Sus scrofa: one gene and its partners. The protein of the gene in region 1 interacts with the protein of each later gene in a biochemical or structural test. Links are inferred from orthologs where the notes say so. Each region holds a gene or a part of one and is shown on either strand. Other genes may lie near its edges. The genes, in order: MARCH6, UBE2G2 and UBE2J2.

The links.
Region 2: the proteins of MARCH6 (region 1) and UBE2G2 form a complex in vitro, tested with the Homo sapiens proteins (2 studies listed by BioGRID). The link is inferred for Sus scrofa from reciprocal best matches to the Homo sapiens genes MARCHF6 and UBE2G2.
Region 3: the proteins of MARCH6 (region 1) and UBE2J2 form a complex in vitro, tested with the Homo sapiens proteins (2 studies listed by BioGRID, with this or other methods). The link is inferred for Sus scrofa from reciprocal best matches to the Homo sapiens genes MARCHF6 and UBE2J2.

Annotation. Positions count from the first base shown.
Region 1 is NC_010458.4:72,125,045-72,129,318, reverse strand, and holds the start of MARCH6 (E3 ubiquitin-protein ligase MARCH6), read left to right. Parts: upstream 1-1,449; 5' UTR 1,450-1,686; coding exon 1,687-1,705; intron 1,706-4,274. UniProt on the Homo sapiens protein: Endoplasmic reticulum membrane-associated E3 ubiquitin ligase that plays a critical role in mitigating endoplasmic reticulum stress, the regulation of cholesterol and lipid homeostasis, and ferroptosis.
Region 2 is NC_010455.5:207,469,020-207,473,018, reverse strand, and holds the start of UBE2G2 (ubiquitin-conjugating enzyme E2 G2), read left to right. Parts: upstream 1-1,192; 5' UTR 1,193-1,289; coding exon 1,290-1,332; intron 1,333-3,999. UniProt on the Homo sapiens protein: Accepts ubiquitin from the E1 complex and catalyzes its covalent attachment to other proteins. In vitro catalyzes 'Lys-48'-linked polyubiquitination. Involved in endoplasmic reticulum-associated degradation (ERAD).
Region 3 is NC_010448.4:63,561,536-63,565,084, reverse strand, and holds part of UBE2J2 (ubiquitin-conjugating enzyme E2 J2), read left to right. Parts: intron 1-944; coding exon 945-1,075; intron 1,076-3,549. UniProt on the Homo sapiens protein: Catalyzes the covalent attachment of ubiquitin to other proteins. Seems to function in the selective degradation of misfolded membrane proteins from the endoplasmic reticulum (ERAD).

The DNA of each region.
Region 1 (4,274 bases):
TTGAAATCAGTGGTTCTCCATTATTGTGTCAAGAACTTGAATTCCTTCCTGTCTTGGGTACCATGAGTGACATTGGTCAAATCAGTGACATTAGTCTTCAAGGGCTGCTCTCTTTCTGAAGGATTCTACTTCATTATTTTCATTCTCAGTTTCATTCTGATTGAGGAAGTTCAGAGGTGGGAGATTTTCCCAATTCCTTTCCTCACACGGATAGAAAAGAGATGGCTAGCATTCTTGCATCTATTTCTGCAATTTATCTGCATATTGTTTAAAATATATTTTCTTGGGATTAGAGACATCTTTAGTTCTACTTAGGTAATTCTAAGGTGGTGGCCTTTCTCATCAGTAATTTCTAAATAGTTCTAAATAATTTCTAAATAATTCTAAATAATTCTAAATAATTTCTAAATAATTCTTTGGTGAGGAAAAGTGGTGTACTGAAAGAACGTGCTCAGTCTTTCATAAGGCTGAAGCAATTTAGCCCTGGCCAGGTTAAGTGTCCATAACCCAGTATACCAAGTTCTGTCCCTATCTGAACAGATTTCCCCTAGAGAAGGGTGTTTGTTTCAACCTCCAACCTAAGCAGTTTATTGTAGTTCTTCCAGTCAAATGCAGAACTATGGTAATGATAGGGCCTGACTTTTTCATTTTACTTCCTTTTTGTCTTTTGTCTTTTTAGGGCTGCAGCCGTGGCATACGGAGATTCCCAGACTAGGGGTCCAATGGAAACTCTAGCTGCCGGCCTACGCCACAGCCAAAGGAAATCAGAGCCTCGACTGCAACCTACACCACAGCTCAAGGCAAAGCCAGATCTTAACCCACTCAGCCAGGCCAGGGATCGAATCCCCAACGTCATGGTTACTAGTTGGGTTCATTAACCACTGAGTGACGTCGGGAACTCTGACTTTTTAATTTTATTGGCATTCTAGTACTTCCTCAAAACATGCATCAGAACTGCCCGCGTGCAGAACAAAAATGCATATTCCTGGGCCAGCTCCAGACACGCGGCACCGGAATCTCCGGGCGCGATAGCGCAGAACTCGTATTTCACAAGTCCCAGGTAACAGTTCTTCAGCCCTGGGACCCGTCTTTGTCCTGCACCGCCGCCCGGCCTGCGCTGGGCTAGCCGCCTCGCTGTCAGGCGCTGGCTCACGCTGCTCACTTCCATCGTGTTGTGTCTTCTTTGTTGCTTCCCTCAGTGTTATTAGAGTTCAACTCCTACTAAGGTTTCAGCCTCGCTGCCCCGCGCAACCCTCAGGACAAGGTCCAGGAGGCCCAATGCCCACGACGGCGGCCACCAGCTGCTCGGGCCGGGCCGGGATGGCCCCCCACGGGTACCGCGCACTGAGCGTGCGCGCCTCCGCCGCGGCCGGAAATGACGGCACCTGTCGTTGGGGGCGCTCCGCCCCTTCCGCCTCCATGCCCCGCCCAGGCCTCGCCCCTCTGCTCTCCCCGACCCTCCCCCTCCCCTCTGTCGCCCGCTTTCTGTCAGCCTCTCTCCCTCTCCCTCTTCCCCTCTCTCCTTCCTCTAGCTTCCTCTCTCGCACCTGAGCACAAACACCTGCCCGGGCCCGGCTCCGCTCCCTCCTCCCTCCTCCCCCTCCCTTTTTCCCCGCCCCGGCCGGAAGGCTCCGGCCTCGGCCACAGGAGCTTCGCGGCTGCGTCACCGCCGCCCCCTCAGACAAGATGGACACCGCCGAGGAAGGTAAGTCGGCGGCGCCCGCGCCCTTTCTCCCGCGCCCGGGTTCGGGCTGGGCCCGCGCCCAGTCTGCGGCGCTCCAGGCGGGCCGCGGGGCCCGGGCGGCGCTGGGGGCACCTCGGCTCGGGGCGGAGGCGCGCGGTGACAGCGGGGGACCGGCGCCCGGGCCGTTTGCCCGCCGAGCAGCCCGGCGCGAGGGGCGGCGGGGACAGAAGGTGACCCCTCGGCGCCCCCCGCCGTTTCCCGCCCGCGCGCGTGGAGGGCAGGGCCCCTGCCCGGGCCGGGGGGCGTCGGGGCTGCGGTGGCCGCGGCCGGTGAGACTCCCCACCCCTCCGTCCCGCCAGCCCCGGGGGACGACGCTGTCGTCGCCGCTCAGAGTCTGGGGGCGTTTTCCACACCCTTCCCCCACTCGGTTTTGTCTTTCTTTATATCGTTTTGCCCGTAGCTCTGCGGGCCCGACCCTTTCACGGCAGAACTTCTTTGTTGACTCAAACTTAGCGAAAAATACCCCGCCAGGTGACGGCTGAGTGGAATCAACTGACCCCTATTTAAAAACCTTATCCTCTGCTTGCGAGTCCCGAATTATTTGTTTACTAAACGGGGACGAGGCAGGCCCAACGGGGTTATTCGCAGAAGGGGTGCTCTGTAGAATTCCTTTGTTTCAGTGTGATTTATTTTGTGCTTAATCCCTGACACCAATAAGCCGAGTTTTGTGCGTGTGTTGCTTGGTTGAGTGTGTGTGTGTTTTGGATGTGGCTGTTTTGGATCAAGCTGACTCTTGTAAACTGAATACATACGTGGATACATAACTGAACAGTTGTGACTATTGAAATGCATTTGCTTATCCGCTGACGGTAATTAGGTTGTTTTTTAAGCAGTTTTATCTTTTTAGAGTCTATCGAATAATTTTACTGAGTCCATAGAGGAAATTACTCTCCTGATGCTTGATGTGTAGGATGTCAGTGAAGATAAGATACCTTTCTGCTTCGGGTATATTATGTAGCTGTCTGATAAGCACCTTTCAACCGTATGGATTTTGGTGATTTTAAATGAGGATCTTTGAGGACTGTTGTGGCGTGCAATAATGAGTGACAGGAAGTTTGATACTGTATGTGTAATGAGTGGAGACAATTTATTATTTTTTAAAGAAGTCTTAGTAAGAACTTCAAACTGTAGCCGCATGTTATACTTGAGTTTACAAAGCATATTTACATGCCTTCACATTTGATCTTAGTAAGAGCCCCGTGGAGTAGCGCGGGGGGTATTATAGATGCGGAAGTTCAGGCTGGCTGGCTTCTTTCTTTCTTCAACAGTGACAAGCCAGATCCTTAACCGCTGAGCTTCCTGGGAACTCCCAAGCTTAGTTATTTAAATAACTTGTCTAAGCTTCACATGCTAGTTAAGAGACAGATATGAACCTAGGCCTTCTCATTACAAATAGTTTTCATTATGTCTTAGTTTTTTTATTATATACAGTGAGTGAAGTAATAACCACCGGCGACTCCTTTGGAAAAAAACAGTCAAGTGACACTGCTGAGGAGGTTATTAGGAATTATCTTCTTTTGATAGATGATTCTTGTGTGTAAATTTCCGTCTCCATAGATTTCACATACTTCTGGATTCAGATTTTAATGACTCAATTTAGTAAGGCTTGTGTTTATTTACCACTTGATAATGTACTGGCATGTTTTCCTCCCATTCTTTAAGCCTGTGCACTTAGTGTTTGCATACTAAATGTGTGGTGTGATAGTGGTAATTCAGGAATTGTAGAATCTGAAAGTTTATGTGGAATCATGATGAAAGAAATATATTTTTTTTGTCTTTGACCACAGCATATGGAAGTTCACAGGCCAGGGGTCAAAGTGGTGCAACAGTAGCAACCTAAGCTGCTGCAGTGACAACACAGGGTCCTTAACCCGCTGAGCCACAGGGAACTCCTGAAAGAAATATTTTCTATGTGCTTCTAGTGCACTGTTTTTTTCCTTGTAAAGTTATAATAAGGGTGAGGTATAAATGATATTTACTGTCTTGAATGCTGTTCTTGAAATAACTAAAATTTACTGAGGACTTAATATAGGGCATGTACTTCACTAAATACTTCATAGACATCTCATTTAATTCTCGTAACACTTTTAGGTACACAGCATTCCCTTTTTTACAGATGGAAGAAAGTAAGGGTTAGTATGATTAAGTAACTTGCCCAAAGTCATGCAGGTAACATGTCAAAGGTGAGATTCAGACTCAGTTCTGTCAGACTCCGTGGTTAAATTAGATATTTGTAAGTGGATACCCAGTATCCGATGTTGAGATAATTATGTTTTTGTTGCTTCCTTTGTAAGAAGAATCATATATGTAATTTTTTTGTTTTGTTTTGTCTTTTTAGGGCCGCATCCACAGCATGTGGAGGTTCCCAGGCTAAGGGTCAAATCAGAGTTGTAGCTGCCGGCCTACACCACAGCCGCAACAATGCAGGATGCGACCTACACCACAGCCCATGGCAACACCGGATCCTTAACCCACATAGGGAGGCCAGGGATCAAACCTGTGTCCTCATGGATACTAGTCAGATTTGTTT
Region 2 (3,999 bases), on another chromosome or scaffold:
TCCAGATCCAAGCTGTGTCTGCGACCTACGCCACAGCTCACGGCAATGCCGGACCTTTAGCCCACTGAGCAAGGCCAGGGATCGAACCTACAACCTTATGGTTCCTAGTGGGATTCGTTGGCGCTGCGCCACAATGGGAACTCCAAGACTTCACTTTTTAAAAAGGTTTACATATCCTTGCATGGCAAAGCTACCAAGCACTAAGAGTGCCGACTTTTTCTAAAGTAAGGGGGATTCTAAGAAGCATCGACAGATTGCCCAGAGACAGTGGGGCGACCAGTAGAACCTCCGCGAACACTACGAGAAAAGGACACCCTAGTGTAGTCACCTGGATGCACATTACCCAGCTGGGGAAGCCGGAGCCTCAGGGAGCCTGGGGCCGGGTGAGGGGCAGCTGGAGGGGGACGACCACCCTTGTCGGCCTCCTGAAGCAGTGGTCCGGGGACTGTCAACGGGGCCGTGGGCAAGTCTGGACGCGCTGCCCCCGGTCCTGCTGGTCAGCCGGCTGTTGTGGTGGAGGTCGGGGCTGTCGGGCTGCTGCTTTGCTCCCTCCTGTCTCCCAAAGCTCCTCTCTTGGCCAAGCTGAATCCAGAAACACCGACACGGAATAAGGCCACCCCAATCGCCAATCTTCTCACTTAAAACCTAAAACCGTGAGGGTAGCCACAGGGGCACCAAAGGTCTTCCATGGACCTTCTCGTTTTAACTGCATTTGGGCCTCAAAGTCACCTCCTCTGAATGACACAGGGGTGGGGCAGCGAGCGAGCCCCGATACGGTCCATGTGCCAGCGTGTGCATTGTAGCCCACCGGACTGGCGGTATCTTCTTTCTTCCCCTTCTCCTGGTACTTTCAGCAAGTAAGCCATGTGAACCCCACTCTTCCAGCGGGCCGGCCGCCGCCCGCCCGCGCCGTCCCCCACCCTCTGCCCTCCACCCTCCTGCCCCCTCCCCGCCGTCGGGACCGCCCTGAGGCCACGAGGACGGAGCAGGCAGTTCGCACACTCGGCCGGGCGCCGCTGCGCCGAAACCTTGTGGAGCCTCCCCTCCAGGTACTCAGAGCCAGGATTCGGGCTGCGGTCGAGGGCGGGCCCCGGAGTCCGCGCCCGCCCCGCGCCTCCCCGCCGCGCACGCGCCCCGCGCCTCCCCGCCGCGCGCGCGCCCCGCCCTTCCCGCCGCGCACGCGCCCCGCGCCCCGGAAGGGCTCCGGTGCCCCGGAAGCGGTCCCGGCGCTGGGTGGGAGGGACGAGCGCTGAGGAGGAGAGGCCGACGGCACAGCTGTTACCCTGACGATGGCGGGGACGGCCCTCAAGAGGCTGATGGCCGAGTACAAACGTGAGTTCGGGGCCCGCGCGCCCGGTCTCCCGGGACGGCCCTCTCCTCCGCCGCCCGGCCCGGCGCCCCCTTCCTTCCCGGGTCCCTGCACACCGCCCTCAGCTGCTCGCGGCGGCCCACGCCCCCCTCGACCCCCGCGCCCCGCTCCCCCGGGTCCCGGCGCCCCCCCTTCCCTGCTGCTCGCGGCGGCCCCGCGGCCGTGGTGTAGCGCGCGCTCCGCCCACCCCCGGGACGGGCTCGTCTGTGCGCCGTCGGGGCGGGTTTTGTCCGGGCACCGGCGGCCCCTGCGAACCTCGGACCTGCAGGATCGGCCGGCGCGGCGCCGCGCTGGACGGGAAGCCCGGATGGTTGCGCCCAGTCCGGGCTCGTTCGTTTCCGTCTCTGGCTCTTTGAGTGACTCTCTCTTTCCGGCCTCGTGAACGTGCGGTGGCCGGAGAGGGGACGCCCAAGTGGCCTATCGAGAAGTTAGCAAAGAAACGTTAAGAGAAAAGCGCAGTGTGATGAGTTTGAGGTGAAAAGTCAGATTTGAGTTTTCCGTCACAAAGGGAGCCGTTTTTGAGCAAGGCCACCTGCCATCCTTCCTGGGTAGTGTTGGGAAAACCCTCGTGCCTCCTTAGGCAGCACCTTTCCTCACCGTTGGGGAGCGCAGCGGGAGAAGCGAGAACCGGCAGCCTTGCGCAGACCCCCTTCTGCAGCAGAGGCTCCCGGGAGGAGTCGCGGGGAGAGGCCAGCCCTGGCTGCGCTCGGGTTTGAAAGTGTTCTGCTTGGCCTCACACAGGGCGGGAGCCCGCCGGCGGCTCAGACCTGCCTCTGCTTATTAATTCTCTGACCTTGGCCTCCGCCCTTGCCCTCACCCGTGCAGAGGAGTGCTTCCCAGGTACCTGCTGGGTGGCTGTCCCTGGTCTTAGCTGTGGCTGTTACCGTTACACCGAGGACACTTTCGGGAGAAACTGGAAAATGAGCGTCGACAATGGGTGCAGCAAAGCTAACAGTACTGTGCAGGTGTCTCGGTTTCCTAAGCCTTCCCAGAGGCGCTGTGCAGGGAGCATTGGTGTTTGGCCTGAGCAGACCGCAGTGTTGCAGAGGCGGGCCCTCCAAAATAAACGTGTGAGTGACGCTCACCATCTGGCCTCCTCTGAAGTTGGGGCTCCTGCCCCACTGTCGCCCCACCGTCTTTCCCTCTGGGTGGCGGCACCCACGGCCTTCCTCTTCCCGCCTGGTGTTTGACTGGGAGACGTGCTTGTGCCACACGTAATCTGTTGATTTGAGTCCAAGCCAGCCTCCGGCCCGGGGAACTGCAGCGCAGATGCCTCTGCTCCTGCGCCCACTGCTTCTCTGCGCCACACGGTCGCATCGTGTCACTCTGCCCGGAAGCCCTTGCAGGGACCCCGCAGATGCTCTGTGCTCTGGCCCGTCTGCCTCTGTGAGATCCCCAACTCCTCCACCCTGGCACATTTCTCCAGCCCCACGGACGGTGTTGCTGCCACTTCCTCGCCCTCTCTGAACCCCCAGACTTGGCCTGTCCTTCCCGTTTCTGTCATCCTTCCTGTCACTAACAGGCAAATGTAACTCTTTTTTTTTTTTTTTGTCTTTTTAGGGCTGCACCCGTGGCATATGGAGGTCTAATAGGAGCTGTAGCCGCCAGCCTACACCACAGCCTCAGCAACACAGAATCCGAGCCGCGCCTGCGACCTACACTGCAGCTCACAGCAAGGCCAGATCCTCAACTCACTGAGCGAGACCAGGGCTCGAACCCGCCACCTCATGGTTTCTAGTCGGATTCGTTAACCACTGAGCCACGACGGGAACTGCTGGCAGCTATAGCTCTGATTCAACCCCTAGCCTAGGAACTTCCATAGGCGCAGGTGCGGCCCTAAAAAGACAGAAACAAAAGGTGTACGTTGACACGCAGTCGTCAAGGGACCCTCTGCTCCTGTGACAGCAGCTTAAGAAGCAGGACCTGAGCAGCACTGGGCGGGTGCTGCCCCCGGGGCACCGCGGGACTGCTGTGCATCCTCTTCCCTTTCTCTGGAGGCCTGTCACGTCACGTCCTCCTCACAGCAGGCACGCTCTCTGCCTGTTTTACCCTGAGTGGAAGTGGGGTCCGCACCCGCCTCTGCAGATTGAACCTCGGCTCAGCGCTGTTCCCGCAAGTCCTTCACGCTGAGCACACGGCTCTTCTCACTGCCCAGAGCCGTCGCATTCTGTGAACGTTACTGCCGGGCCTGTAGCTTACGCTGCACGTCGGTTGCCGTGGGCATTTCTGGCGCCTGGGCCCAGCGTGGACCTGGCTGTGACGCAGCGCCGGTGCCCCCGGGTCAGCTCTCTGGAAGTGGCTCCCCGCGTGTCCCCGCATGGTGTTCCCGCACAGCGCTCCCTCGGGCTGCTCGCCGCCGCAGCAGGGTCAGTGCCCCGCCGGTGCGCTGTCATTCGGAGGGCCCGACGAGAGAGTCGAGGGGCCCGTCCCCTCGTGGTTGGAGGCAGTCCGTGGTTCTCCCTTGGTGGAAGGTCCGTCCGTGCCTTTGCGCCCATTTCTGCGGGGTGGTCTGCTCTTGTTGGGGCGTAGGAGTTCTCTGTCAGTTCCCTGCTCCTTTTCACTTCCTCGTCTTTGGTCGGTTATGTGCGTTACAAGCATTTCGTTCTTGTTTGTTTTTCATCTTACTTTTT
Region 3 (3,549 bases), on another chromosome or scaffold:
CTGGTATGTTACACAGATTGGGTTGGAGCTGTTCTGGGGCCTTTGAGAGAGGGGAGCCCTGTCTTCCATGCCCCCCCCCGCCCCTGGAGCATAGCTGGGATGTCCCAGGGTTCCCCATGCAGGCTCGTCCCTTCTCGTGACTGACGGCTGCTCCCTCGCTCCCTGTCCCCAACCTTCAGTGCTCTCCTGTCTCATCCTGTCCCTCCCATGCCATCCCATCTGCCATGTGTTGGGCCACCAGAGGGACCTTCCTGACAGAAGATCTGACTGGCTGGAAGACCAGGCCTGTAGTCTTTCTGGGGCACTGCTTGATGGCCTGGCCTGGCCTCGTGTCCCTGGCCAGGCTTGTCAGCCACTGTTCACCATGCTTTGGCTTCTGACGCAGTGACCCAGGGCTGGTCCCTGGACACAGTGCCCTGCCTTGGCCTCTGCTTGTGCACCTGTCGCTCCCTCTCCCTGGAAGGCGCTCCTTCCCCCTCTGCCTAGCGCGGTGTCCCCGTCTCTCCAGGATCTCCCCTCTCCAGGCTCAGAGAGAGGCTCTTTCTCTGTCCCCCGCCCACCTGTGGCCAGTGCTAAGCGTGCTGGAAGATGTTTAACCAGGGCCTTTTGGGGGCTGGTTTCTGTGGTGTCAGCGGCCCCCTGGCGGGCACCTTCCAGCGCAGTGCTGGAGAAACGTGCCTGTGACTGGCGGTCCGGGCTGGCTTCACACCTCTGCCCGGGACCCTTAGAAATGGGTGTCTTTCTCCCTGTGTCGGTTCCTTGAAGATGGGAGTGAGGCTGTTGGGTGTTTCCTAACCTCCGGGTCTGACTGCGTTGTGTCAGCGAAGGTCGTGGCAGGGCCGTGGGTGCAGAGGTGCCAGCAGGGGTGGGGGTGCTGAGCTGCGGGGTGGAGAGCAGCCCGGCCGCCTCCATCCCTGGTCAGCACGGGGGTTGGTTTTCTGCAGATGAGCAGCAGCAGTGGTAAGAGAGCGCCGACAACCGCCACCCAGCGACTGAAGCAAGACTATCTCCGAATTAAGAAAGACCCCGTGCCTTACATCTGTGCTGAGCCCCTACCCTCCAACATTCTGGAGTGGTGAGTTCCGTGTCCCTCTCGCCGCCCCTGGGTGCGGGCAAGGGGCTCGGCACCCTCGTCGGGTGGGAGTGGGCTGTGAGGCCCGTGGACACTCGGGTCATCTGCACCGTGGGCAGCTGCCGGGGGCGTGGCAGGGCTGCCCCTGCCCCTGCCCGCTGGGCTGGAGAGGGTCCTTGCCTGGGGAGGCTTGGGGGCCTGCAGATCTCCCAGCTGGAGAAGCTGCTGGCCGCTCCTCTGCTCTTTGCTTCTCGGGACCGTGCGGTGGGCTGTCCTGCCTTAGCGAGCTCACAGCAGAGGGTCCTGCTCCCGCAGCTCCTGTCTCCGGGCCCATCTCCGCCTTGTGACCATGCGGTTCGGAGCAGCTCTTGGGCCATGGTACAGCTGCCCTGTCGGGCTTTGCTGGTGATCTTGTGAGAAGCAGGACGGAGAGCTGAGCTGAGTGGGAGCACGTTCTCTTGGGTTGGAGGGTGTTTTATGTTTTCATCTTAATAAGTCCTTTGAGATCCGGAGAAGAGAGATGCAGCTGAGTAAAATCTAGGCCTCAACACCAGGCTGGACAGGGGGTCGGGGATTCTGGGTCTGCCTTCCTCAGCTTCCGGAGGGGCCGATGCGGCTCGAGGTTGTTGGAGAGGCATCAGTGCTGCAGCAGATGCAGCAGAGCCCCCCCCCCCAGCAGAAGCCGAGTGTGGCCCCTGGGGCACAGTTGGTAGATAGAGGGACAGGCTCTATGGCAGCCAAGGGTCCCCCTCTGTCAGTCGAGGGGACCCTCTCCTGCCTTGACTCAGGTCCCAGGTCACTGGCCAGGAGGACCCACTGCGGAGGTTCTGTAACGAGCATAGCGAAGAGACAGGAGGCGGCGCCGGGAAGAGGTGCAGGCAGAGTCCTAAAGACTGGCCCAGGCTTCCCTCCCATGCAGCAAGCTGCCACCACACAGGCCGTGCGGTCCGCCGAGGACGCCCTCCTGGACCCAGCACCAGGGCCTGCAGTTGCAGACTTCCGGCAGGAAAGCGGACTGCTTTTCAGCCTGAAGCACGTTGTTTGCAGACGCAGTTTAGGTGCAGTTGGGCTGGGGAGATGCCCCCCCACCCCACCCCAGTCCAGTTCTCAGCTGCCGGCCCAGGACAGCAGTGTTGGGCCTGCTGTGTGGGCTCTTCTGCTCCCAGCAGGGTCTGTTTCCTCAGCTGGGAGAAGAGAGCCTTTTCTGGAAGAGGCCCGTCCTCCAGGTGCTCTTTATGCTGCCACCTGGGCCCTTCCCCGTGGCCTCAGATCGAGTACAGGAGTCGGGAGCAGGAGCCACTGGAGGCCCTGCGTTCCTGATCTGCCTTCCAGGATGGCGGCCTTTTTTGAGTCGGGGGTGTGAGCCCGCAGGTCAGCCAGCAGGTTGTCAGAGTACCCGGTGGGAGGCGGCGTCTGGAGGGGTGGGTACCAGCGTGTGTGCAGTGGTATCTAGTCTGGTGTTTCTGTTGGGTCTACCGTCTCCTTTGTGCTTTTCTGTTTTTTTTGAAAACCTGTGAGCTAAACGCTTGTTAACGTAGAGCCGCAGCTGCCTGCCTTTGTGCAGAGGAACAGAGTCCCTGGATGGCTGCTCCAGGTCCGAGGCTCCCTCTGCGTGAGGACTTTGGCAACAGTCCCAAGCTGCCCTTGTCCCTCCTGCTGGCTCTTCCCCAGGCTCCAGCTGTTCCGGGTTTAGCTACTGTGACATTTGGACGCACTGAAAAATACCAATTTTTTTTTTTTTTTTTTTTTTTTTCTTTTCTCTTTTTAGGGCCGCACCTGCAGCATATGGAGGTTCCCAGGCTAGGGGTTGAATCGGAGCTGTAGCCGCCAGCCTACATCACAGCCACAGCAACGCCGGATCCTTCAACCACAGAGCGAGGCCAGGAATCGAACCTGCATCCTCCTGGATACTAGTCGGGTTCTTTAACCGCTGAGCCATGGAGGGAACTCTCACAGGTGCCAGCTTTGAAATTTATCTCAAGAATGAATTGTGGAGTTAAAAAGTGTTAAATTTTCAGTTGACATGGATGGTTTTAGAGGATTAGCTTTTGGCGTGTTGTTTGCGGATAGGAAAGTACTTTGTGGGGAACTTGGGAGACACAGCCTCTGATCCTGTTTCAGAGCAGCTGTTAGCGCACCAGCAGCACGAGAGACTGCAGAGCTTTGGTGCTGCCTTGCTGGTAGGGTTTATCCCTCAGTTTGCCTAATGAATGTCTGGTTTTGGTTGGGCCCTAAAATCCTGGCCTTGGGAGGTGCCATCTTGGCTCACCGGCAGTGAACCTGACTGGTAACCATGAGGACGCAAGTTTGATCCCTGGCCTCCCTCAGGGGGTAAGGATCCTGTGTTGCTGTGGCTGTGGTGTAGGCGGGCAGCTGCAGCTCTGATTCGACCCCCAGCCTGGGAACCTCGATATGCAGCGGGTGTGGCCCTAAAAATAAAAAATAAAAAAATCACATCAACAGACCTGGCCTTGGAG